3 linked regions of the Pelodiscus sinensis genome follow. The protein of the gene in region 1 purifies or fractionates together with the protein of each later gene. This does not show direct contact. Links are inferred from orthologs where the notes say so. Each region holds a gene or a part of one and is shown in the gene's direction. Other genes may lie near its edges. The genes, in order: CTDSPL2, PDIK1L and STK35.

The links.
Region 2: the proteins of CTDSPL2 (region 1) and PDIK1L purify together in Homo sapiens (affinity purification with mass spectrometry; 4 studies listed by BioGRID and IntAct, counting the BioPlex papers as one, with this or other methods). This does not show direct contact. The link is inferred for Pelodiscus sinensis from reciprocal best matches to the Homo sapiens genes CTDSPL2 and PDIK1L.
Region 3: the proteins of CTDSPL2 (region 1) and STK35 purify together in Homo sapiens (affinity purification with mass spectrometry; 3 studies listed by BioGRID and IntAct, counting the BioPlex papers as one, with this or other methods). This does not show direct contact. The link is inferred for Pelodiscus sinensis from reciprocal best matches to the Homo sapiens genes CTDSPL2 and STK35.

Annotation. Positions count from the first base shown.
Region 1 is NC_134724.1:772,547-780,099, forward strand, and holds the start of CTDSPL2 (CTD small phosphatase-like protein 2), read left to right. Parts: upstream 1-4,492; 5' UTR 4,493-4,787; intron 4,788-7,553. UniProt on the Homo sapiens protein: Probable phosphatase.
Region 2 is NC_134735.1:1,689,152-1,696,557, forward strand, and holds the start of PDIK1L (serine/threonine-protein kinase PDIK1L), read left to right. Parts: upstream 1-4,394; 5' UTR 4,395-4,521; intron 4,522-5,579; 5' UTR 5,580-5,653; intron 5,654-7,092; 5' UTR 7,093-7,109; coding exon 7,110-7,394; intron 7,395-7,406.
Region 3 is NC_134728.1:3,043,539-3,051,202, forward strand, and holds the start of STK35 (serine/threonine-protein kinase 35), read left to right. Parts: upstream 1-4,567; 5' UTR 4,568-5,007; coding exon 5,008-5,434; intron 5,435-7,664.

The DNA of each region.
Region 1 (7,553 bases):
CAGGCAAATTTCTTGAAATTATTGTAAAGAACAAAATTATCAAGACCATAAATCATTAGTTCTTAACCAGCAATACATGTATTCTGGGGATACACAAAAGTCTTCTAGGGGGGTCCATCAACTCATCTAGATATTTGCCTAATTTTATAACAGGTTACTACAAAGTGCTAGCAAAGCCACTACAGGCAGTTCCCGGATTACGTACAAGATAGGGACTGTAGGTTTGTTCTTAAGTTGAATCTGTATGTAAGTCGGAACTGGCATCAGCCGCTGCTGAAACTGATCAGTTTCAACTGCGGCTGAATCTGGACGCCAGTTCTGACTTACATACAGATTCCACTTAAGAAACCCAGGTGTCCCCAAGTCAGCTGCTGCTGAAACTGATCAGCTGCTGATTCCAGGAAGCCTGGGGCAGAGCAACTCTGCCTCGGGCTTCCTGTAGTCAGCCGCTGGTCAGTTTCAGCAGCGGCTGACTTGGGGACGCCTGGGGCAGAGCAGCTGGGGTGCTGCTGGGTTGCTCCAGTAGCGCGGCTCCTCGGCGCTACTGGAGCAACCCAGCAGCACCCCAGCTGCTCTGCCCCAGGCGTCCTGATTCAGCTGCTGCTGAAACTGACCAGCAGCGGCTGAATCAGGACGCCTGGGGCAGAGCAGCTGGGGTGCTGCCGGGTTGGTCCAGAGCGACGCTGCGGGACCAACCCGGCAGCCCCCAGCTGCTCTACCCCAGGGGTAGGCAAGAAAAGCCTGGTCTGCTGGGGGGGGGCACTAGCTGCACCCCCCCAGCAGACCAGGGAGATGGAGAGCAAAGCCTTGGAGCACGCCCGCAGCGGGACAGCCCAGGCGTGCCACGGCTGTCCCACTGCGGGCGTGCTCCGAGGCTTTGCTCCCCATCTCCCTGGTCTGCTGGTCGGGAGACGGGGAGCAAAGCCGCGGAGCACGCTCTCAGGGGGACAGCTCAAGCGCGCCCGGGCTGTCCCGCTGCGGGCGTGCTCCAAGGCTTTGCTCCCCGTCTCTCTGCAGACCAGGGAGACGGGGAGCAGCTTTTCTCGCCCCGGAGGACGGGGGCGGCGGACTGCGGCGCATCTGGGCGTCCCGCCGCTCCCGTCCTCTGGGGCGAGAAAAGCCCCGTTCGTAACTGCGGATCTGACATAAGTCGGATCCGCGTAACTCGGGGACTGCCTGTACAAGCTAAAATTGCATACAATGGCTTATTTGTATTGCTCTATAAACTACACACTAAAATGTAATAATATTTCTATTCTAATTTATTTTTATAATTACAGTATAACGTAAATATGAGAAAATGAGCAATTTTTCAGTTATAGTGGATTATGTCTTTTGAATTTTGATGTCTGATTTTGTAAGCAAGTAGTTTTTAGTGAGGTGAATCTTGGGGTCTGGAAAGACAAATTAACAACCTGAAAGGGATACAGTTAATCTGGAAAGGCTGAGAGCCACTGGTCTAGCCCAGTTCATTTATTTTAATGGCTTATCAAACTCCTCTAACTAAGCTTTAAATGTAAGAATCTATATAAACTTTTTTTTCACTGTTGAGAATACAAAAAATACCAGCAAACATGTACAGCAACAAACTTTGCAGCCGCTCACACACCCTCACTACATATGCGGGGGGGGGGGGGGGGAGAACAGGAGTTATACTGCTGTCAGACTCTGTCAAAATGAATGATGTATTGGGTCTACAGCACCTTCCTCCCAGGAGAGTTCCAAAGACTTTCACAGGTTAAGTGCACCAAGATATTTGCTATACATAGGGTTTTTGCTGCAATGGAGCTATACACAGAAACGTTCACTATTGTCACAAGCAGAGTAGGCCCCAACCACCTGTATATTCTGACAGCAGCTTCTGGACTAAACATTTTACTTTTGCCTCCCCAGTGTGGTCAAGCCAACAAACACCGTGCTCTTTTCTAATTTCAGTAGGAATAGGATCTGTTGTCCAAACATTGCCAGTAACCTAAAAAACACCTCCTATAAACTGTTTCTTCCCCCCCCCCCCAGAAACAGCAAAACACTATCCCCAGCCACATTAAACCAATTTTCTACTCAGAGTCAATAGCAAAACCAATGCATTCCCTCCTAAGAAATCTTCACTACAGCATATCAACAAAATATTGTTTTTCCCAGTCTTCTTAGTAACCTAAGATGTCCTCCTTTATCCATAAATTGTCCTCACCCTCCTGCTCAGAACCTACATAGCCCTCCTAGACTTTAGGCTTTGTCTTCACTAGGGGAAAATTGTGTATTCTTTACTCAATTAACTCAATGTAAAATCCTAATGAAAATATTGAAATGTATAGTTTTTACCCTAGTTAGCAGGTTGAATTAAAAGCTATGTTTTCATGACCAAAAGATTTTTTTTGTAGAAAGGAGGGCAACTAGTTATCGCACTGTAAACTCCTAGACTGGCATGATGTTGCGCAAAAGATTTGCTTTGCACAAAAGCATCCGTGCCAGTGTAGACGCTCTCTTGTGCAAGAAAGCTCCCATGACCAATTTAGCCATTGGGCTTTCTTGCGCGAGAAATTAATGTGGCTGTCTACACTGGCCCTCTTGCGCAAGAATACTTGCGCAAGAGGGCTTATCCCTGAGCGGAAGCGTCAGAGTATTTGTGCAAGAACCACTGATTTTATACATTACAAAGTCAGTGTTCTTGCGCAAATACTCACGGCCAGTGTAGACAGGCAGCAAGATTTTGTGCAAAAGCAATTGCTTTTGCGCAAAATCATGCCAGTCTAGACGCAGCCCTAGTGAAGAAAAGAATTGAGGCTGTGTCTACACTTGCACTTGCTTGACAAAACTTATATCCCTCACAGAATACTAGAACTGGAAAGTACTGGGGGGGGGGATGATAGCTTAGTGGCTTGAGCATTGGCCTGTTAAACCCAGGGTTGTGAGCTCAATTCTTGAGGCCATTTGGGGCAAAAATTGTCAGCAATGGTACTTGGTCCTGCTATGAAGGCAGGGGACTGGACCTGATGACCTGTCAAGGTTCCTTCCACTTCTAGAAGATAAGCAATCTCCATTCATTTGAAAATAATTTACCTTAACTAACTCATTAAAACCCTTTTTTTCTAGCAAAGTTAAGGCCTGTAAACAGTATCCTCAATCTGCTCACCTCATTATTTTCTCCAGTCTCTCTACAGCATCCTCCTATCACTAAAGTTTGCCTTGTTTGTCCCACTTGTTGCAGCTCTAGCGATGAGAGTTCCTATGTTGACAGGGGATTTTCACTACTGTATTGCTTGCTCCTCCTATCAGCAGTAAGCCAGGCTTCTGTCTTGACTGCGCCTGTCAGTACTAGCACTGCCACTCACTACATTTCACCTAAGGGAACTGGGGAAAGGGCTGCATACCAGCCCAGACCTGACCTCTGTGTAAATTCAAAAGCTCCTCTCACCCACAGAAATTGGTCCAATAAAAGATATTACCTCTCCCAGGTTGTGTCTCTAATATGCCCACCCACATATTTATGTCATACTCATCACAATGGAGTCTGAACCTCACAGTGCCAGAGTATGAGTCCCCCACTCATTATGGTGTAAGGCACTGCTGACCCAGGCCTTCTCCAGTGTGAGGCATCCTCCTTACAGCCCTCCCTCCCAGTGTGAGGTGCCCCCCCCACTCACGTGCCCCTACCCGTGTGAGGTGCCCCTGCCACTCACAACCCTCCCCTCCACTGTGAGGCAAAAAAGCCCTCACAGTCCTCACCCATGACACCCCTTCCCAGCTCTCCCCCCCAACTTCATCCTGGTGTGAGGAGCCTCCTGACCCACGATCCACTCCTTTCCCAGTGAGAGGCACCCCCCACTCACAGCCTGCCAACCCCATCAGTGCCAGGCAACCAAACCCCTCCCAGTGTGATGCCCCCTCACGGCCTGTAGACAGCTCCCCCCCCACGAACCCTCCCAGTGTGGGGCAGCCCCTCTCAGCTAGCCCCCCCCCGTGTGATGCCCCTCTCAGCTAGCCCCCCCCGTGTGATGCCCCTCACAGCTAGCCCCCCCCGTGTGATGCCCCTCTCAGCTAGCCCCCCCGTGTGATGCCCCTCACAGCTAGCCCCCCCCCCGTGTGATGCCCCTCACAGCTAGCCCCCCCCCCCGTGTGATGCCCCTCTCAGCTAGCCCCCCCCGTGTGATGCCCCTCACAGCTAGCCCCCCCCGTGTGATGCCCCTCTCAGCTAGCCCCCCCGTGTGATGCCCCTCACAGCTAGCCCCCCCCCCGTGTGATGCCCCTCACAGCTAGCCCCCCCCCGTGTGATGCCCCTCTCAGCTAGCCCCCCCGTGTGATGCCCCTCACAGCTAGCCCCCCCCCCCGTGTGATGCCCCTCACAGCCCCCCCCCCGTGAGGCAACGCACCTCACGGCCCCCGCCCACTGTGAGGCAGCCCCGTTGAGGCCAGCGCTCCCCAGTGAGCCCCCCCCCCCCGCGTGAGGCCTCCCGCGCGAGGCGCCCTCGCTGGCAGCTCCCCGCCGCGCGCGCCGCCCGCGGGCCGAGCGACCCCTGGCCCCCCCCGGGCGCTGTCCGCCGCGCGAGGCCCCGCTCCTCCCCGGCGCTGTCCCGACCCCCTCCCCGGCCGGGCTGCGCCTGCGCGGCGGCCCCTCTCCCATCCGGGTCCCTCCGTGCGGTGTAGCAGGTCGGTAGGCGGGAAATGGCGACTGGCTGCTGAGCGGCTGCGGAGCCCCGGCGGCGGTGTAAACACAGCGGCGCCCGCCCGGCCTGGCCGCCGGGGCCCGGGACACCGGGGCCCGCCTCCTCGGCACCCCGCACCCACAGGTACCTGACACCCCCTCCCAGCCAGCGCGGGGTCGCGCCCGGGATCGGGGAGCCAGGGGGGCTCCCTCCCGAAGTGGCCCCGGAGGCGCCCCCTCTCCGGGCCTGGCCCTGCCTGCGGGGCGGGCTCCCCTCGTGGAAAGCCGCCCCCGACGGGGGTCCCCTGTGCCGGGCGTGAGGAGACACCGCCGCGCCGGGCTCCTGCCGTCCCTCCCCACCGCCGAGACCACTCGGCACAGCCCCCTTCCGAGAGGGGCCCCGGCCCCCCCCGCCGCGCCCCCATGTGCCGGGGCAGGGCGCTGGGGGGCTGTCACCTCCCGCCCGACACCCCCAGCTCCCCCCTCAGGCCTAGGCCTGTGGTGAGACGACTCCGCCTAGAATCCCAGCTGCCTCCCCCATCTCCGGGTGCCCCGGGTTATTGGGGGCGTGGGGGGTAATGCTCTGACTTGGGCGCTGCCGGGGTGTCCTGCGGGGGACCCCCTGCTGCCGCTGGCTTTTCTGCATCCCAAGTTGGGTTTGTTTAGGGGGCGTAGCTCTCTTGCCTGCCTCTGAGTCCATGTTACACACAAACACGCGCGCACACACGGGGAAGTGTGGGGAGCGCAGCACAGGATATGCCTGTTGCTGCCTCTTGTTGCAGTTACAGTGGGGAGTGAAGCACTGGACACCGCTGAGGGGCTCGTTCTTACGGTGATCGCTCGGTAGCCTGGCATGAGCCCGTCCTGGGCTGAAGGATGTTGGGGAACTCTGTTCCTGTGCATGCCTGTTGCTGGCTCTTACTGCGGAGACATTGGGGAGTCGTGCCTGCTCTTGAATCTAATGGGGTGTACAGTGACCAATATGCTTCTTGCTGTCTCTATTGGTAATGATCATGGAGAACATAACCTTGGATGTGCTTGTTTCTGACAATGACAGGCATAATATTGGGGAGAGTGACAGTGAACATTCCTGTCGCTGACTAGAGTGATGATATTGGTTGGAGTGGTAGCCTTGTGGGGGATGCCACATTGGATGTGTCTCACTCACGATGATAATATTGGGGACCACTGCAGATGATGTCCCCATCACTGAGTTGGGTTGTATCATAATATTGGGTTGCATTGCTACACTGAATGTGTCAGTTGTTCACTTCTACAGTATTGGAGAGTGTAGCAGTGGGTTTGCTTGTTGCTCACTTTTACAAGAATATTTGGGACTGCGTCATAGAATGGGTCCAGTAGTCATTTTTGTAACAATGTTGGTGGGCTCTGTATCAGAGCTATCACTTCGTTTATCCAAAGAAATACCAAAGAATGCAGCATGGAAGGTATTTGTTCCCTTCATAATGATGATTTTGGGGGATGTAGTACAGTACCTGTTTTGCTCTGTTTTATTATGATATTTGGGTTCACAGCTTCCCTTATGTTTATGGTTCATTTTTAAAAGAATACTGAGGATCAACTGGAGAATATGCCTGTTTCTTTTTGATGATTATAGAGTACTTTCCACTCATAGTACTGTGGTCTATGAAAGGATCTCAAAGCACTTTGCATTAATTAATACATTATTTTTCTGTTGCCTCAGGCAAGTCACTTAACATCTTTTCTGGTTTCCCCATCTATAAAATTGGAACATTAATACCTCACAGGGGTGTTGTGAGGATTAATGAGTTAATGTTTGTGAAGGGCTGTGAAGTTGAAAAGACCTATATAAATGTTGGGTATTATTATTATTAAAGCGTCATGACACATTGAGTCAAGATAGTTGTATTGTACCTGTTTTAGACATGGCTTAACTGAGGCGTAGAGATTATGACTTAAACAGAATTACACATTGAATATTTAACAGTGGCAGCCGTAATTATTACATGCTGTAAGCACTAGAGAACACCACTACTTTTTTACTTCTATCAAATGGGTATACTGTATTTTCTCAGATGTTATTTTCCCTGGGAAGCGTCATGATTTTGGTGATGCTATTTTGTTTTACTTAGTTTTGGTTTTCCACATATGTCTTACCCATTTGTAGACTTTAAAAGTATCATGGCACAGTTTGTAAAAATTAGAGTTGTGTGCCCCAGGGTTTTGGACAAATTCAGGTAATTACATTTAGCCTCTCTCAATTCTGTTATTCCTGCCAGGGTATTTACACTGTATAAAACATTCTTCACTTTCATAAAGTATTGTGTGGCGTCCTGGTTTGACTTCAGGGATACAGAATAAAGTTCCTAATCATTACTGTGTTCTGCCTCAGGTATGACTGCATTTCAGAGATTTGCCTTTAGTATCCCTTTCCTGCCCCGCACAGGTTTTCAGAGTTTTAATGTTTGTAATATTATTGGAAATCTCTTGTTTAAGTGTAGTACAGAAGTTAAGAATATTATTTTATAAATGCCAGTGCATTTCAGTGATCTAAAGGTAACTTTACTTCAGCAGAGTGTACATTTCAAGATGAAACAAGCTACTGTGTGAAAATGTCTTACTTTATTTTCCAAAAGAATGACATGATGACACAGCTTATTTTCGGAATAGCCAAGCTGAGTGGTGTTCTTTGTTTCCTTTTTAATTACATGGTGCTCTTCAGTCATTTACACCCTTAATTTTTACTATGTTTGTCAGTAGCAGTCTTATTCATGATTCATATTAGTACTTACTTCTTTTCTTGACACAAGTTACCCCAATTAAGGTTGTGACACTAATAAAAGAAAGGAAATATAAAATTAAGACTGAGGCCTGTTCTATTGTAATTTGTAATTAATGAAGCACAATTTATTTTATGTATAAAGGAAAT
Region 2 (7,406 bases), on another chromosome or scaffold:
AATCACAAAGTGCCACCTAGCGCCACAAAAGCCAGGGTTTTATTTTTCACATGTGCCCATTGACAGCTGCTGTGGCTATTCTCAGTCCTGCCTCCTTACCAGAGGATTTGCAGACTTTGGAAAAAGCTCCTGGTGACAGCATGGCCAGGATTAAACTGGGCACCGGCCCCTTCCAACACTGCGAGTCCCTTCTTTAAAGTTCTCCTATGCTGACAAAGCTAGGGTCAACTCACAGGGTAACAGGCTAGAATGATATTCCTGCAGGGTGGGGAACCGTTTTTGGGTCGAGGGCCACTGACGCTCAGAAATATCAGTCAGGGGCTGCACACAAGTGAGAAACAAACAAATCCACCCCTCACCAGCGTGGAATCCCCAATGCTGGGGGGAGGCCCTAGCCTCAGGAGCTGGATCCAGGAAAGCCAGGGGCCGCATGTGGCCTCCGAGCCTGGGCGTAATGCAACAGGAATGAAGAGTGCAAAGCTGAGAGGTGTCTGTTTCTGAGATCAGGAAGCATCCAGAGTAATTTGACTGGGGTGGGGAGGGGGCTGGACGTCACAGGGGAATGGTAATGAGAGAGGGAACTGGTCACCCGGGGTTTGCCCAGTCTAATCCAGCCCGAGCAGTTAGCAATTAACAGTCGTCGCCTTGGGTGGCTTTTTGGTGGCCTACGTGAAACGAGTTTGTGCTGAGACCCACCAATAAGCAGTTGCCCCCGTCCCAGCTGCACGGAAAAGTGGCTTTAAAGTTCTGAATTGCAACAAAACGTCAATATCACAAAAATGGTCCCGAAGTGAAAAGATGAAAAAGTGTTTGGGTCAATCCAAATATCCGGGTTTTGATCATTCCACGGTATTCCCGGGCAGGGCGGGGCTCTTCTGCAGGATCCCTGGCGCCAGCAGAACCGTGGCAGAGATGAAGAGGGTCATGCACACACAGAGAAAGAGCTTCTGCCTACGACTCTGGGGGGAAGCTGCTCCATCCGCATGCCTCGGGCACCAAGTCACAGCGCCGTACGACCACAGACCCCACGAGCCCCTTCGTGAGCCAAAGGGACTGCAGCACAGAGCGATGTGCTCCAGGGAGAGCAGGCAGAGATCAGATAGTCCAGGCCAGTTCCTGCTGTTAGCTGATGCTCTGAGCAGGGCGGATACACCCAGCATCAGCGAGCTGGGGGGTGGATATGGACTCCATTCACGCGTTGCACTAGTTCCGCTCCAACAGTGAAGCTGGTGGAACTTCACGGGGAGACGGAGAAGGCCATGCAGCCACGGCAGCAAGACTTGCAGGGTGGCCAAGAGACAGACGCCAGGTACCGGGAGGAGCAGAACCATGTGTTCAATTCACAGAGCAATGACTCATTTGACTCAGGAGCCCTCAATTTTCCTTCCCAGAGGGGGTTGTAACCCCACAGCCCGTCCCTGCAAGAGCCAGTCTCGCTCCATGCACCGTTCACTCACCTGCAGCTGCTTCTTTGAGCCAGCTACAGTTCCCCAGGCTTCCTCCTGGTGTCACCGGCTCCCACTCAAGCCCTTCTGGCCTGGGTTAGTCACATGAGCTTTGATCCCTCCTCCCATCCCAGTAGCTAGTCTGAAAGACTTTAAATATCCACAAACAGCTACAATTAAACACAAAGAGTTGACTTAAGGGAGGGATAGCTCAGTGGTTTGAGCATTGGCCTGCTAAACCCAGGGTGGTGAGTTTAATCCTTGTGGAGGCCATTTGGGGCAAAAATTCATCAGGGTGGTACTTGGTCCTGCTGTGAGGGCAGGGGACTGGACTCGATGACCTTTCAAGGTCCCTTCCAGTTCTAGGAGATTGGCAATTTAAGATCTTCCCCTTTTGCAATTGAAGGGCCTGCCTGTAATCCACTTGGCCACTAGATGTCAATACAGTCTCACTCTGGGAACCTGCAGTGCTGAAAAGGGCACTAGCTGAAGATTTACAGTATTTCCTTATTACTGGTACCAGTAGACTAACTTACAGTTGCAAACTCCCGCCCAGCCCTCTGTCCCATTGAAGTTAAAGCTCAGAATGCTTGCTTATACTTTATGGCAAGGGTGTCGTTATCGTTTATATCGGGTCAATACTTTACTGATAGATGCTGCAAATATGTCAATGTGATGAGTAGGTGGATGGCTGCTGAGTTCATTGGTGGTAGGTGCAATTGTACAAACCATTTATAAATGTACCCTTAAAATAACGTAAGAAGATAAAAATGCCCAGACTGGCTCAGATTAAAGGTCCATCCAGCTCAGTGTCCTGGCAGCCAACAGTAGCCAGTGCCAGGGGCCCCAGAGGGAGGGAACAGAACAGAGAACCATGAAGTGATCCCTCTCCCATCACCCATTCCCAGCCTTTGACAAACAGGCCAGGGGCACCATCCCTACCCGTCCTGGCTAACAGCCACCAATGGGCCTAACCTCCATGAATTTATCTAATTCTTTTTTTAACCCTGTTAAAGTCCTAGTCTTCACCACATCTTCTGGCGAGGAGTTCCACAGGTTGACTGTGCGCTGAGTGAAGAAAAACTTCCTTTTGTTTGTTTTAAACCTGCTGCCTATTGATTTCTTTTGGTGACCCCTAGTTCTTATGTTATGGGAACAAGAAAATAACTTTTCCTTATTTGTTTCTCCATATCTGTCATGATTGTATAGACCTCTGTCCTATCCCCCCTTAGTCTCCCCTTTTCTAAACTGAAAATCCCAGTCTTTTTAATCTCTCTTCATCGAGTGTGATCTCTTAAACACCTGCATACAGATAGATTATGAAGTGACTGCTGCAACATGAACCCCTTTTCAGCATTGGCTACCTAACTCTCCCCATCAATAGACTCGAACAGTACAGTGGCAAATGTGGAGGGACAGAGTGTGGCTTAACTAGATTAGGGAATTATCCGATCTCTATTGTACACTCTTTCTGCCTCCCTTAATGCCATCAATGCACTGATACTGTCTGATAGCTACTATTGCGAGCCTAACGGCCAAATTAACATACCACACAAAATAAATGCTGACTGAGTTAATCAGACAGGCTTCATCTTACGGCAAAAAAAAAGTTAAAAAAAAATCTAAAGAGTAAGATGTTACTTCCACACAATAAAAGTGGGCACCCTGTACTCTGTACTAGACTGTCCATACTGGGACCTCGGTGCAGGGCCCTTCCACTGTTTTTCCTAGGCAGGTGCTTGAGAATGTTAATGGGTGTGAGTGTGTCTGAATGTTAATGGGTGTGAGTTGTGGGTGTGTGCAATGAACACTGATCCCTGGCCCAGTCCATGTGAGAGTGTTATAGGAAGATTGACACCTGACCGTCTTGTGCTATGAAGTCCAGGGGCACTAAACATGTATGTGCAAGTGGTGCCTTTGCTCCCACATTGATTTGGGATCAAGAAGATGGGGCCTCAGGTGGCTGCCATAGCTTCTGAACTGCATGTCTTGCAGTGGCTAGTATGAGAGAGACACCACATAGTCAGGGAGTGTGTCCACACACTTCCCAGCAGGGAAAAAATGCAGACATGTCCCTTTAAGGGAAGATACCAATAGCCCTCCATCCTCTAGACAAGAGGGGGGGAAGGATCTTACCAAATGCTTGCATCCTTCAACGTGCTTGCAGTTCCCTAAAAGGCATGTCCCCATCACACAGTGACAAGGGATAACAAAAGGTGCAGTCCTCCTCCCTGGGTGGCAACCAATAAGCGACAGTCTAATGGGGGCTGCTTTGTTTTTTTTAAAAAAAGCGAAATTATGATTTTGTAATGACAAAGATCTAATTGCGGACGATAAAAAAATGAGAAATGCCTTAAAATTCAGCAGGACACTCAGCAGCTAGGAGGGACAGGCACGGTAGGTGTTTGCACAGGGGGGCTGCAGCAAGCAGGAGGCAGCAGCGTCCCCTGGGGGAAGTGGGTGGGGGAGGGCTCGGGCCAGTCCTGTGCAATTCAACCCATTACGACCGAAGAGGGCTGCACGTTGGGTTTGCACCTGGGGTGTTGATACGAGCTGCGTGGCCGCACAGCCCCCGCCCCCCTCTCCCAGCTGCGCGAGGTGCCCCCCCCCCCCATTTGAGCTGCATCCATGGCGCAGCACCCCCCACTGCATCCTACCGGGGGCTACACGAACCCGCCTCCCCCCATTCCAGCTGCTTTAAATGGGGCAGCCTCATTGCCGGGCCACTCTGGGAGCTGCACCCATGGTGCATCCTTCCCCTCCCCCCTCCCACGCATGGAACCGAGGGGGAGCATCCCACGCGGCAAACAGAGGCGCGAGCTCCCCGGGAAAGTCCCGCCCCGTGCGCATCCGGCCCCGGCCAATCAGAAGCGGCGGCGCGCGCCACAAAGCAGGCGCGGGGGCTCGCCCGCCCTTTCAGCCAATGGGGAAGCGGCCAGGGCGGCGCGCGCGCGGGAGGGGAGCCCCGGCGGCGGCGGGGGCGCGCGGAGGGGGGTGTGTCGGCGCCCGGAGTGGGGGAGGGGGGGAAGAGAACCCTATAATGGCGGCCGGGAGGAGCGCGCGCGGCGCTGCTGAGGTAACGCGGAGGCGGCCGGGAGCCCCGCGGGCCCGGGGCTGCAGCGCGGCCTGAGGGGAGGGGCCCCTGGCGCGAGGGAAACCCTGGCGGGAGGGGAAGCTGCGTCCCCCGCTGTCAAGCTGAGGGAGGGGACTGGGGGGGCGGGGCTGAGGGGGACGGATGGGGTGGGGGCGGGGCTGGGCTGAGGAGAAGGGGGGTGGGCTGGGGGGGCGGGGCTGAGGAGAGAGGATGGGGCGGGGCTGTGCTGAGGAGAAAAGGGGGGTTGGGGGGGGAGGCCTCACCTGCTGGTGCCTGGTTTGTGGGGCCTCGCCTGCTGGGGGGGGGATTTTCCTGATGCTCCCCCCTTGTCCCGGAGGGGGGGGCAGCTCTGGCCTCCAGGGAGGACTGGAGGCCTGGCCTGGAACCCTGCTCATGGGGGGGGGTGCAGTATAACGCGCCACTCTCCCCCCCCCCCCTATTTTTTCCAGGACTTGATTTAAATGTTGGGGCAGCCCATGGGCTGGAGACACCTCAGTAAAAGTCATTTAAGCCACCAGTCCCTCAGCACCCCCTTCCTTTAGGGGTCTGCTGCTCTGTGCCGAGAGCCCTCCTGGAGGAGCGGGGTAGAAACTGTGAAATGTGCCACTACAAAATATACAGGGGGAGCCTTCTACCCCCCCCAAAGCCAATCAATGTCCAGGCCCTGCTCCTATAGCCTAAAGAACCAGAACCATGGAACGGGCACGTTTTGGGGTTTCCTGTGTGGGTCAGTTTTCACCATCATTTCTGTTAACCTCACCGCTGATGGTTAACTGGGTTACTGCTTATTTAGGAATCTGACAGAGTGGGCTTAAGCGCATGGAAAGCTTATGCCCAAATAAATGGGTTAGTCTTTAAGGTGCGACAGGACTTCCTTGTGTTTGCTGAAACAGACTAACAGTTACCCCTCTTCACAGTCTGTCTTCTGGGATGTGAGGTTTGCTTAGATTAGATTATTGTATAGGCTCTGATGCCTTGTGAGAGGAGGGGCTTGTTGAATTTGGAAATCTCTTCCCCCCCCCCCCCCCCCAACTCTTTAGGACAATGGGGAAGGACAGGTGGCAGCCTTTTATTTACCTATAGACCTGCTTCTGTGTAAACTGATGTTTCAAAGGTAAATTGTGCTCCCTACTGTTTGAGCCTGCAATGACCATAGCTTTCTTTCACAACTACACTAATTGTATGTAGTTTTTTGACTATCCATACTTAATGCCTCTTTTGTGTGCGAGTGCCTTTGTTTTTGTATGTTCTTGTTAATTTACCTTAGCATTTAGTCTGCACTGTTCTCCATATGCTTATATCACAATATAGGAGCAGGTTGAATAAATATTACTATCTGAATCTCACGTTGTACTGGCATTTCTGTGGGGAATTTATATTTAAATGCATTCAGAATTGTAAACTCACATAAAAGATGTTGCTGCCACATCTCCATATATCTGCACTAATGGTGTCATGAGACGGATATCCATTATTTCTTTTATGGTGCACGCTTTGTAGGTACTTGAAAGTTGATTGATAGTTTTGCTTCAGCGAAGTAGTGTTTAGTGAATGGTTTCCTGTGGTAAATACAACTTGCCTGCGATACTAACTTCTAAAATCATTTTCATTCTAATACCCTGACTTGCTCGTTTTCTATTTAGTCCTTTGTTTTTTTGCAAGTCATTCCACTTGGCCAGTGATGATAGCCAAAGTTTATTTTCTGTCTATTTAGTGTTCCTTTCTGGCTTGGTTGCATTAGTGAGTAATGTTGTATTTTCTGGTATGTAACCTTGCAAAGAAGATCTTGGGTATGTTCCCATTTTTTAAAATATGAACATACTAGTTTTAGTCCTTCCTCCTTCCTTTCATAATGAAACTAGAATTTGAATGTAAACAATGTAGAATGTTTTTAAATATCTTGCCCAGTTTAAACTGACTGTTCAGATTGTATTTAATTTTTATAAATTAAAAACATTTTTTAAATACTCCTTTACCTTGGTACTAGAAAACCATTTAATAAACTACACCATAAAACATTTACCCATGCTGTCTGTGACTTTCCACTTAATGTAGTTTGAAACAGTGCGTAAGATCCACTAAGTATGTGCTTCTGCTAGTACCTTTACTGGAAAATGCTATAAAATGTGGGGAAAGGAAGCACTGTACTCCACTGATACTGAACAAAATGTTAAAGTAAAAGATGCTGTGAGATGTAACAGTTTTAGCCTGACCTAATGCAAGTGAAAGCTAGAAATGTTGTGGGCTTGAACTGTGAACATGTTATGATAAATGCTGGCTAACATTATATCACTAGCCTAAAGTGTAACACTTGAAAATCCTTCTTGGCGTTAATTGTGGCTTTACTGAACAAGTTTAATGCTTCTTCATATTGGTAACATCTGAAAATAATGGCTCATTACAATCTTATTTAAGTTTATTGAATGGAATCCTGATTTTAAGCACAGTGATTAGCCCAAATGATACTTAATTAACTGATTCAGAGAGGAAAAGCAGATCAGTCATTATTCATAGGATTTTTTGTCATGTGATGTTTTTTTCCCCCCTCCCCAGAACCCTTGGCCTTGAAGATGGTGAGTAGCCAGCCAAAGTACGATCTAATACGGGAGGTTGGACGTGGTAGTTACGGTGTGGTGTATGAAGCACTTGTCAGGAAGACCTCTGCACGGGTTGCAGTGAAAAAAATTCGGTGCCATGCTCCAGAGAATGTGGAACTAGCGTTACGTGAGTTCTGGGCACTTAGTAGTATCAAGAGCCAGCATCCAAATGTTATCCATCTGGAGGAGTGCATCTTGCAGAAAGATGGTATGGTACAGAAGATGTCACATGGTTCTAGTTCTTCCCTCTATTTACAGGTATGCGAAGGA
Region 3 (7,664 bases), on another chromosome or scaffold:
CTAGCTTAGATAGTGCAACACTAGACTGACTTGTTGGAACCCCTTATTTTTACTACAGTACAGTCCGTTTCTGGAGCAATAGTCTTCAGACTTTTTGGCCCATGGCCTGGACCATTCAACACAGACCCTTCCGCAGACCACCAGCCAACCACCCGTAATGACAAAATGGGTGCAGGAGCTGGGTGTGGGGTCTGGGAGGGAGGGTGCAGGAGCAGAGTGGAAGTGGGGGGTCTTGAAGGAGGGAGATGCAAGAACAAGCTGAGGGTGGGAGGATCTAATTGAGCTGCTAATTGAGCCCCACCCAGAGGTTTAGGGCTGCCATGCAGAGAGCTTTCTGGCTGGGGAGGGGCACACCCTCAGCAGCAGAAGCTCCCAGCTCCTGAAGGGAAGAGGACATAAGGAGGAGAGAGGCACATGGCTAGGATGGGAGGGGGGCAGGAGGGGAATTTGGAGCATGCAGTATGTGTCTGGGAGAGGAGATGTCTTATCAGAGGTCTGATTTACTGCAGCTTCCTGTGAGGAAACCTAGCACACTCCTCTAGCTTCCTGAGCTGGGAAAGAGGGAGCAGACTGCATGGGGTAGGTGGAGGAAATGGCAGGGGGCAGTGCTGGTGTCTGTGCAGTAAGGTGGGGATAGAGGAGATTTTGTTTGTTGTGTGTTAACTTGCCCCCATCTGGACTGCAAACAGCAAGAGCCAGACTGTCTGTCTCAGCACAGCAGCCATAGACTGCAGACATAGGACTCTCTCCTAGGCTGGGGCAGGATGTATTGGGGTGGTGCCAAAAATTCTGGTGAGTTAAAAGCTTGTAGGCTGCTTTTAAATACTGGAACAAAAGGCCTAGCTCATAATATGTGCGTGATTACATTTCAAACAAAGTTTACATAGGTGTTAATGGCTTGCGGTAAGAAAGAAAATTATTCTTTTAAGAGGTTTTTCAGTGTTGTAGATATCTGCAAACTCAGATCGTAATGATTTTTTAAAAAAAATCCCATGTCACTAGTTAATACATGGTAAATTGTTAAAACTGGAAGAACTTTACCATAGATCCAGTTTAATTTGTTTGGCCTTTCAACTGGAGTTGGATTCTGGACAAATACTCTGGGAGCTTCTACTCTGAGTTAGAGAGACACACACAAGGTGAAGGTTTCAAACCAGACCTTTTCTCTGTTTTATTTGCATAGCATGGATTCTAAACATTCCCCAGAGAAAGCATGTAAGCTTGAGTGAATGCCTTTTATTCTCCTTTCTAGTGTCAGTAAATATTGTATTAATATTGTCAAGGAGCGTGTGACCATTTCTAGTTGATTCATAGATTTGCTTAGCATCTTAAAGCTGTGCATATTTTTAGGCTTTTACTTAATGGACATGTCTTAGATGTATTTGCATAGCTATTTGCAGCATGCCCCATTTTGGTATGTTTACTAGCTTGAGTTGTTAGAAAAGACAATAATACATGTACTCCAAGGGTCGTGTTAGTTTTCTTTATTTGATTTCATACTAAATAAAACATTTTAAGCATTGCACCTTGTTAATTATCCCTTTTTTAATATATTGTCTTTCATACCTATGGACTGTTAAAAATATATATTTATACCTAGTTTTTTTGTTTTATTGGGACACACTGTACAGATATCTACATACAACCTCAATATTGGTGGTACACATAAGAAATTTCAACCTGCCCAAGGATGGAAAATGTTAGGGGGAATATTGGTTCTGGGCAGGAGCGAGGGGGCAGGAGCAGGGTGGGCATGTGGGGGCTCAGCACAAAGAGGGGTTCATGAAGAAGATGGGGTGCAAAGTCTGGCCATGAGGATGGGGGGGTACTAAGTCGGCTCCATACCCCTCCTCCCTGATCCCACTGGCTATGATTCTGGCCAATGAGAGCAGCAAGGAAAACTTCCAGACAAACAATTTCCTGTACTGACATTCCCCCAGCTGCTCCCTATCCAGCAAGCTGAATCCAGCCTGTGAGGCTCCTCCCCACCCCAGCAGGAAGCTAGTGCTGGCACCCCAGTCTCGTGGGGGAACGGGGCTAGAGCAACAGAGTGGTCTACCCACTGGGGGCAATGAGGGGGGGGCAAACCCAAAGACTATGGCCCACCTGCAAGAGGGTCGTGAACTACACTTTGAGACACAACTGCTTTAAATCATAAGCATTTTAAGGCATGGACCCAGGCTGAAATTTGCAAAGCCAACTAGGCATTTAGACACAGTCCCCATTGAAATGAGTTATGCCTCCAAATCCTATGTGTCTTAAAGAGTTCAGCCTCAGCCTTTCTGATAAAGCACCGCATGCATTCATGGCATTGCATAAAGATAACAAATGGACCAAAGCTGATATTTTTTCAGCCAAATTCTATGATCCCCTTTAAAAAATGGTGATTCAGATAAAATTGGACCGGCTGTGAATGACTTCTGGCTTTGGGTATTATCAAACTGTGACTTCCATAGCTCAGCATTTAACCAATAGTTTCTCCTCCATGCAGACTGAGACCCTCTCTGTGGGACAGCCCTGGAAGTGGTGTTGTGTCCAGAACTATTCATTAATGGCTTTGAGAAAGCAGTGTCTAGCAAGCTATGAGTGAGACAAAGCTATTTTAGACTAGTGCATGCTAAGGAGGATTTTGAGACAGTGCAGCTAAAATATAGGGTCTGTTATCCTCCTGCCACCTACCCCTTCCTTTTCAGGGTCTGGCCTGCTGCAGCCCACCCCTCCCCCTACACTGCCATCCACCTGCCACCCCCTCTTCATACCTCCATTCCACGGGTACGTCTAGACTACATGCCTCTGTCGCCAGAGGCATGTAGATTAGGCTACCAGACATAGGAAAATGAAGCGGCGATTTAAATAATCGCCGCTTCATTTAAATTTACATGGAATGGAGGTATGAAGAGGGGGTGGCAGGTGGATGGCAGTGTAGGGGGAGGGGTGGGCTGCAGCAGGCCAGACCCTGAAAAGGAAGGGGTAGGTGGCAGGAGGATGTAGGTGTGAATGGGGAACTCAAGGCTAGGAAGGAGTGTACAGTAGCAGCATGGGGGCACCATCAGAAGGCTGTGCAGCTGCAGACTGAAGTTGTTTGACTTGGGAGTGGCTATGCTGGTGCAGGTAATACATTGGGGGATGGGGGCTCTTCATTCTGCAGGATATGAATTAGGCAGGTGCAGTAATGAAGAAGCATGGGGATAGGATACTGGGGGCTTTGTACAGTTTGGTGGGGGTTGGTTGGGACATGGCTGTTGGTTGGGCGCGGCAGCTATGTAAATTTAAATGAAGCGGCGATTATTTAAATTGCCGCTTCATTTTACTATGTCGGGTAGCCTAATCTACATGCTTCTGGCGACAGAGGCATGTAGTCTAGACGTACCCCACTACAGCCCACTCCTCCATTTACTCCCATCACTCCCCCCCTCATCCCCCCCACTGCCCACCCCTCTCCCTCACCCCCCCACTGCCCGCCTCTTCCCCCTCCCACCCCTCCCCACTCACCCCCACTGCCCACCCCTCTCCCTCACCCTCCCCACTCACCCCCCCACTGCCCACCCCACTCCCCCTCCCACCCCTCCCCACTCACCCCCCCCACTGCCCACCCCTCTCCCTCACCCCTCCCCCCTCACCCCCCCCACTGCCCACCCCTCTCCTCCTCCCACCCCTCCCCGCTCACCCCCCACTGCCCACCCCCTCTCCCTCACCCTCCCCGCTCACCCCCCCACTGCCCACCCCTCTCCCCCTCCCACCCCTCCCCACTCACCCCCCCACTGCCCACCCCTCCCCCCCTCCCACCCCTCCCCGATCACCCCCCCCACTGCCCACCCCTCTCCCTCACCCCCTCCCCGCTCACCCCCCCACTGCCCACCCCTCTCCCCTCCCACCCCTCCCCGCTCACCCCCCACTGCCCACCCCTCCCCCCCCTCACCCCCCCCACTGCCCACCCCTCTCCCCCTCCCACCCCTCCCCGCTCACCCCCCACTGCCCACCTCTCCCCCTCCCACCCCTCCCCGCTCACCCCCCCACTGCCCACCCCTCCCCCCCCTCACCCCCCCCACTGCCCACCCCTCTCCTCCTCCCACCCCTCCCCGCTCACCCCCCACTGCCCACCCCTCCCCCCCCTCACCCCCTCCACTGCCCACCCCTCTCTCCCTCCCACCCCTCCCCGCTCACCCCCCCACTGCCCACCCCACCCCTCCCCCTCGGCCGGCCCGGCGGTTACATAAGCGGTTACGTAAGGGGCTACTGCGCCCCGACTCCGCTCCAGCAGCCCCCGCCGCTCAGCCGCATTGTCCGCGCGCAGCGCCCGGAGCCCGGCACCGCGCTCGGGGGGGGGGACTCACAGCAGCGGCGGCCCCTCAGCCCCCTGCGCCGCCCAGGGGCGGGCCCCGTAGCAGCAGCGACACCTCCCCCAGCCGAGCGGCGGCAGCTGCCCCCGGCCCAGCCACGGGGGCTTGTCAGGGGCAGGGGACAAGTAAGTGCGTTATTCCTCCACCCCCCTCCCCATGGTAAATAATGGACTCGCCCATCTCCCGGCGGCCAGCTAGGGAGTGTTTACACTCCAGGGGAGAAACCATTGGGCACCGGGGGGAAAGCCAGACACTGGGATGGCAGCTGAGCCAACGGCAGCGCTCGGAAAGGCTAGCAAGCCCCCCTCACTAGGGTTCCTAATTGGGGTTTTTCGAGCGGTGCGTGGAACAACGGCTCTTGTTTGTCTTGGGGGGCTTTTGGGTTGGACTCCCCCTTCTCGTCCCCCCTCTCGCCCCTGAATGGTTCGGCCTCCCTCGCCTCGGCCGCCGCGATTGGCTGAAGCCTTAAAGGGGCAGGCAGGGCGCGCTTTTCTGTCCGCCGACTCAGCCCCACGCCCCCCGTCTCCATCCTCGCCTGTCGGGCCGGTGTCGTTCGCAGCCGGCTCCGGTTGCTGGAGGCGGCCGATGCTCCCCGCGCCCCGGGCGCAGGGATGAGGAGTGGGGCTCGCGGGCGGCAGCAGCCAGGCCCCCCCGCGGCGCAGCAGCCATGGAAACGGCCGCGGCGGACGGCGGCCGCCGAGGGACACAAAGGCCCGCGGCGGAGCGGAGGCGGCGGCCCGAGCGGGAGCGGGGCCCGGCGCTGAGGGGCCCCATGGCGGCGGGCGGCGGGCCCGGGGCGCCGCGCTACAGCCTGGTGGCGGAGATCGGGCGCGGCTCCTACGGGGTGGTCTACGAGGCCGTGTCGGGCCGCAGCGGCGCGCGCCTGGCGGTCAAGCGGATCCGCTGCGACGCGCCCGAGAACGTGGAGCTGGCGCTGGCCGAGTTCTGGGCCCTGACCAGCCTGCGCCGCCGCCACCCCAACGTGGTGCGCTTCGAGGAGTGCGTCCTGCAGCGCGACGGGCTGGGCCAGCGCATGAGCCACGGCAACAAGCAGAGCCAGCTCTACCTGCGCCTGGTGGAGACCTCGCTGAAAGGTACCGCCCCCCGGACCCCCCTAGAGCCCCCCCGCCTGGGACCCCCCCTAGAGCCCCCCAGCCCCGGGACCCCCTCCATAGCCCCCCCAGCCAACTCTACCTGCGCCTGGTGGAGACCTCGCTGAAAGGTACCGCCCCCCCGGACCCCCCCTAGAGCCCCCCCAGCCCCGGGACCCCCCCTAGAGCCCCCCCAGCCAGCTCTACCTGCGCCTGGTGGAGACCTCGCTGAAAGGTACCGCCCCCCCGAGCCCCCCTAGAGCCCCCCCAGCCCCGGGACCCCCCCTAGAGCCCCCCCCGCCAGCTCTACCTGCGCCTGGTGGAGACCTCGCTGAAAGGTACCGCCCCCCTAGAGCCCCCCCAGCCCCGGGACCCCCCCTAGAGCCCCCCCAGCCAGCTCTACCTGCGCCTGGTGGAGACCTCGCTGAAAGGTACCGCCCCCCTAGAGCCCCCCCAGCCCCGGGACCCCCCCTAGAGCCCCCCCAGCCAGCTCTACCTGCGCCTGGTGGAGACCTCGCTGAAAGGTACCGCCCCCCCGAGCCCCCCTAGAGCCCCCCCCGCCAGCTCTACCTGCGCCTGGTGGAGACCTCGCTGAAAGGTACCGCCCCCCGGGTCCCCCTAGAGCCCCCCCGCCTGGGACCCCCCCTAGAGCCCCCCCAGCCCCGGGACCCCCCCCTAGAGCCCCCCCCGCCAACTCTACCTGCGCCTGGTGGAGACCTCGCTGAAAGGTACCGCCCCCCGGGCCCCCCTAGAGCCCCCCCAGCCCCGGGACCCCCCCTAGAGGCCCCCCCGCCAGCTCTACCTGCGCCTGGTGGAGACCTCGCTGAAAGGTACCGCCCCCCTAGAGCCCCCCCCCAGCCCCGGGACCCCCCCCTAGAGCCCCCCCAGCCAGCTCTACCTGCGCCTGGTGGAGACCTCGCTGAAAGGTACCGCCCCCCTAGAGCCCCCCCAGCCCCGGGACCCCCCTAGAGCCCCCCCATAACCCCCAACTCGGGACCCCCCCTAGAGCCCCCCCAGCCAGCTCTACCTGCGCCTGGTGGAGACCTCGCTGAAAGGTACCGCCCCCCTAGAGCCCCCCCCAGCCCCGGGACCCCCCCTAGAGCCCCCCCAGCCAGCTCTACCTGCGCCTGGTGGAGACCTCGCTGAAAGGTATTGCCCCCCTGGGACCCCACAGAGCCCCCCCGGACCGCCTCCATAGCCCCCCCCGGCTCTGGGAGCCCCCCTAACCCTCCTAACCCCCCCATAATCTCCCTAGCCAGCTCTACCTGCGCCTGGTGGGGACCTCGCTGAAAGGTACCTTGCTGAAAGGTTACCCCCTCCACAGCCCCCCTGCCCTGGGACCCCCCCATAATCCCCCTATCCCCCCCCAAGGCAGCTCTACCTGCGCCTGGTGGAGACCTCCCTGAAAGGTACCGCCCCCCCCGGACCGCCCCCATAGCCCCCCACCCCGGAACCCCCCGGCCCCGAGACCCCCCCATAGTCACCCTCCCCCGACCCTGGGACCCCCCCCATAGCCCTCCTAACCCCCCCAGCCAGCTCTGCCTGTGCCTGGTGGAGACCTCCCTGAAAGGTGTTCTCCCCCCCCCCTTGCCTGGGACCCCCACACGGCCCCCCCTGCGCCCTGGGACCCCCTCCCACAGCCCCCCAACCCTCCCAGCCAGTTCTACCTGAGCCTGGTGGAGACCTCCCTGAAAGGTACCGCCTCCCCCCTGCGCCCTGGGAGCCCCCCAAAGCCCACTCAGTCTGGGACCCCCCCAGCCAGTTCTATCTGTGCTTGGTAGAGACCTCCCTGAAAGATACTGCCTCCCTCCCACGCCTGGGACCCCCCCCCCCACAGCCCCTCCCGTGCCCGGGACCCCCCCCACAGCACTCCCTGACCCCCCCCGAGACAGCTCTACCTGCTCCTGGTGGAGACCTCCCTGAAAGGTACCCCCCCACAGCCCTCCTGACCTGGGACCGCCCCACAGCCCCCCCCCCCCCCGTGCTGTAGGACCGCCCCCCCAACCCTTCCAGCCAGCTCTACCTGCGCCTGGTGGAGACCTCCCTGAAATGTACCATCTGGAGACCCCCCCAGCTCCTCTAATCCCCCCCAGCCAGCTCTACCTGCACCTGGTGAAGACCTCCCTGAAAGGTATCCCCTGCCCTGAGACATGCCCCGCCACAGCTGCCCCCTCATAACCCCCAACCCTTGCACCTCCACATCCCACTCTACCTGCGCCTAGTGTAGACCTCC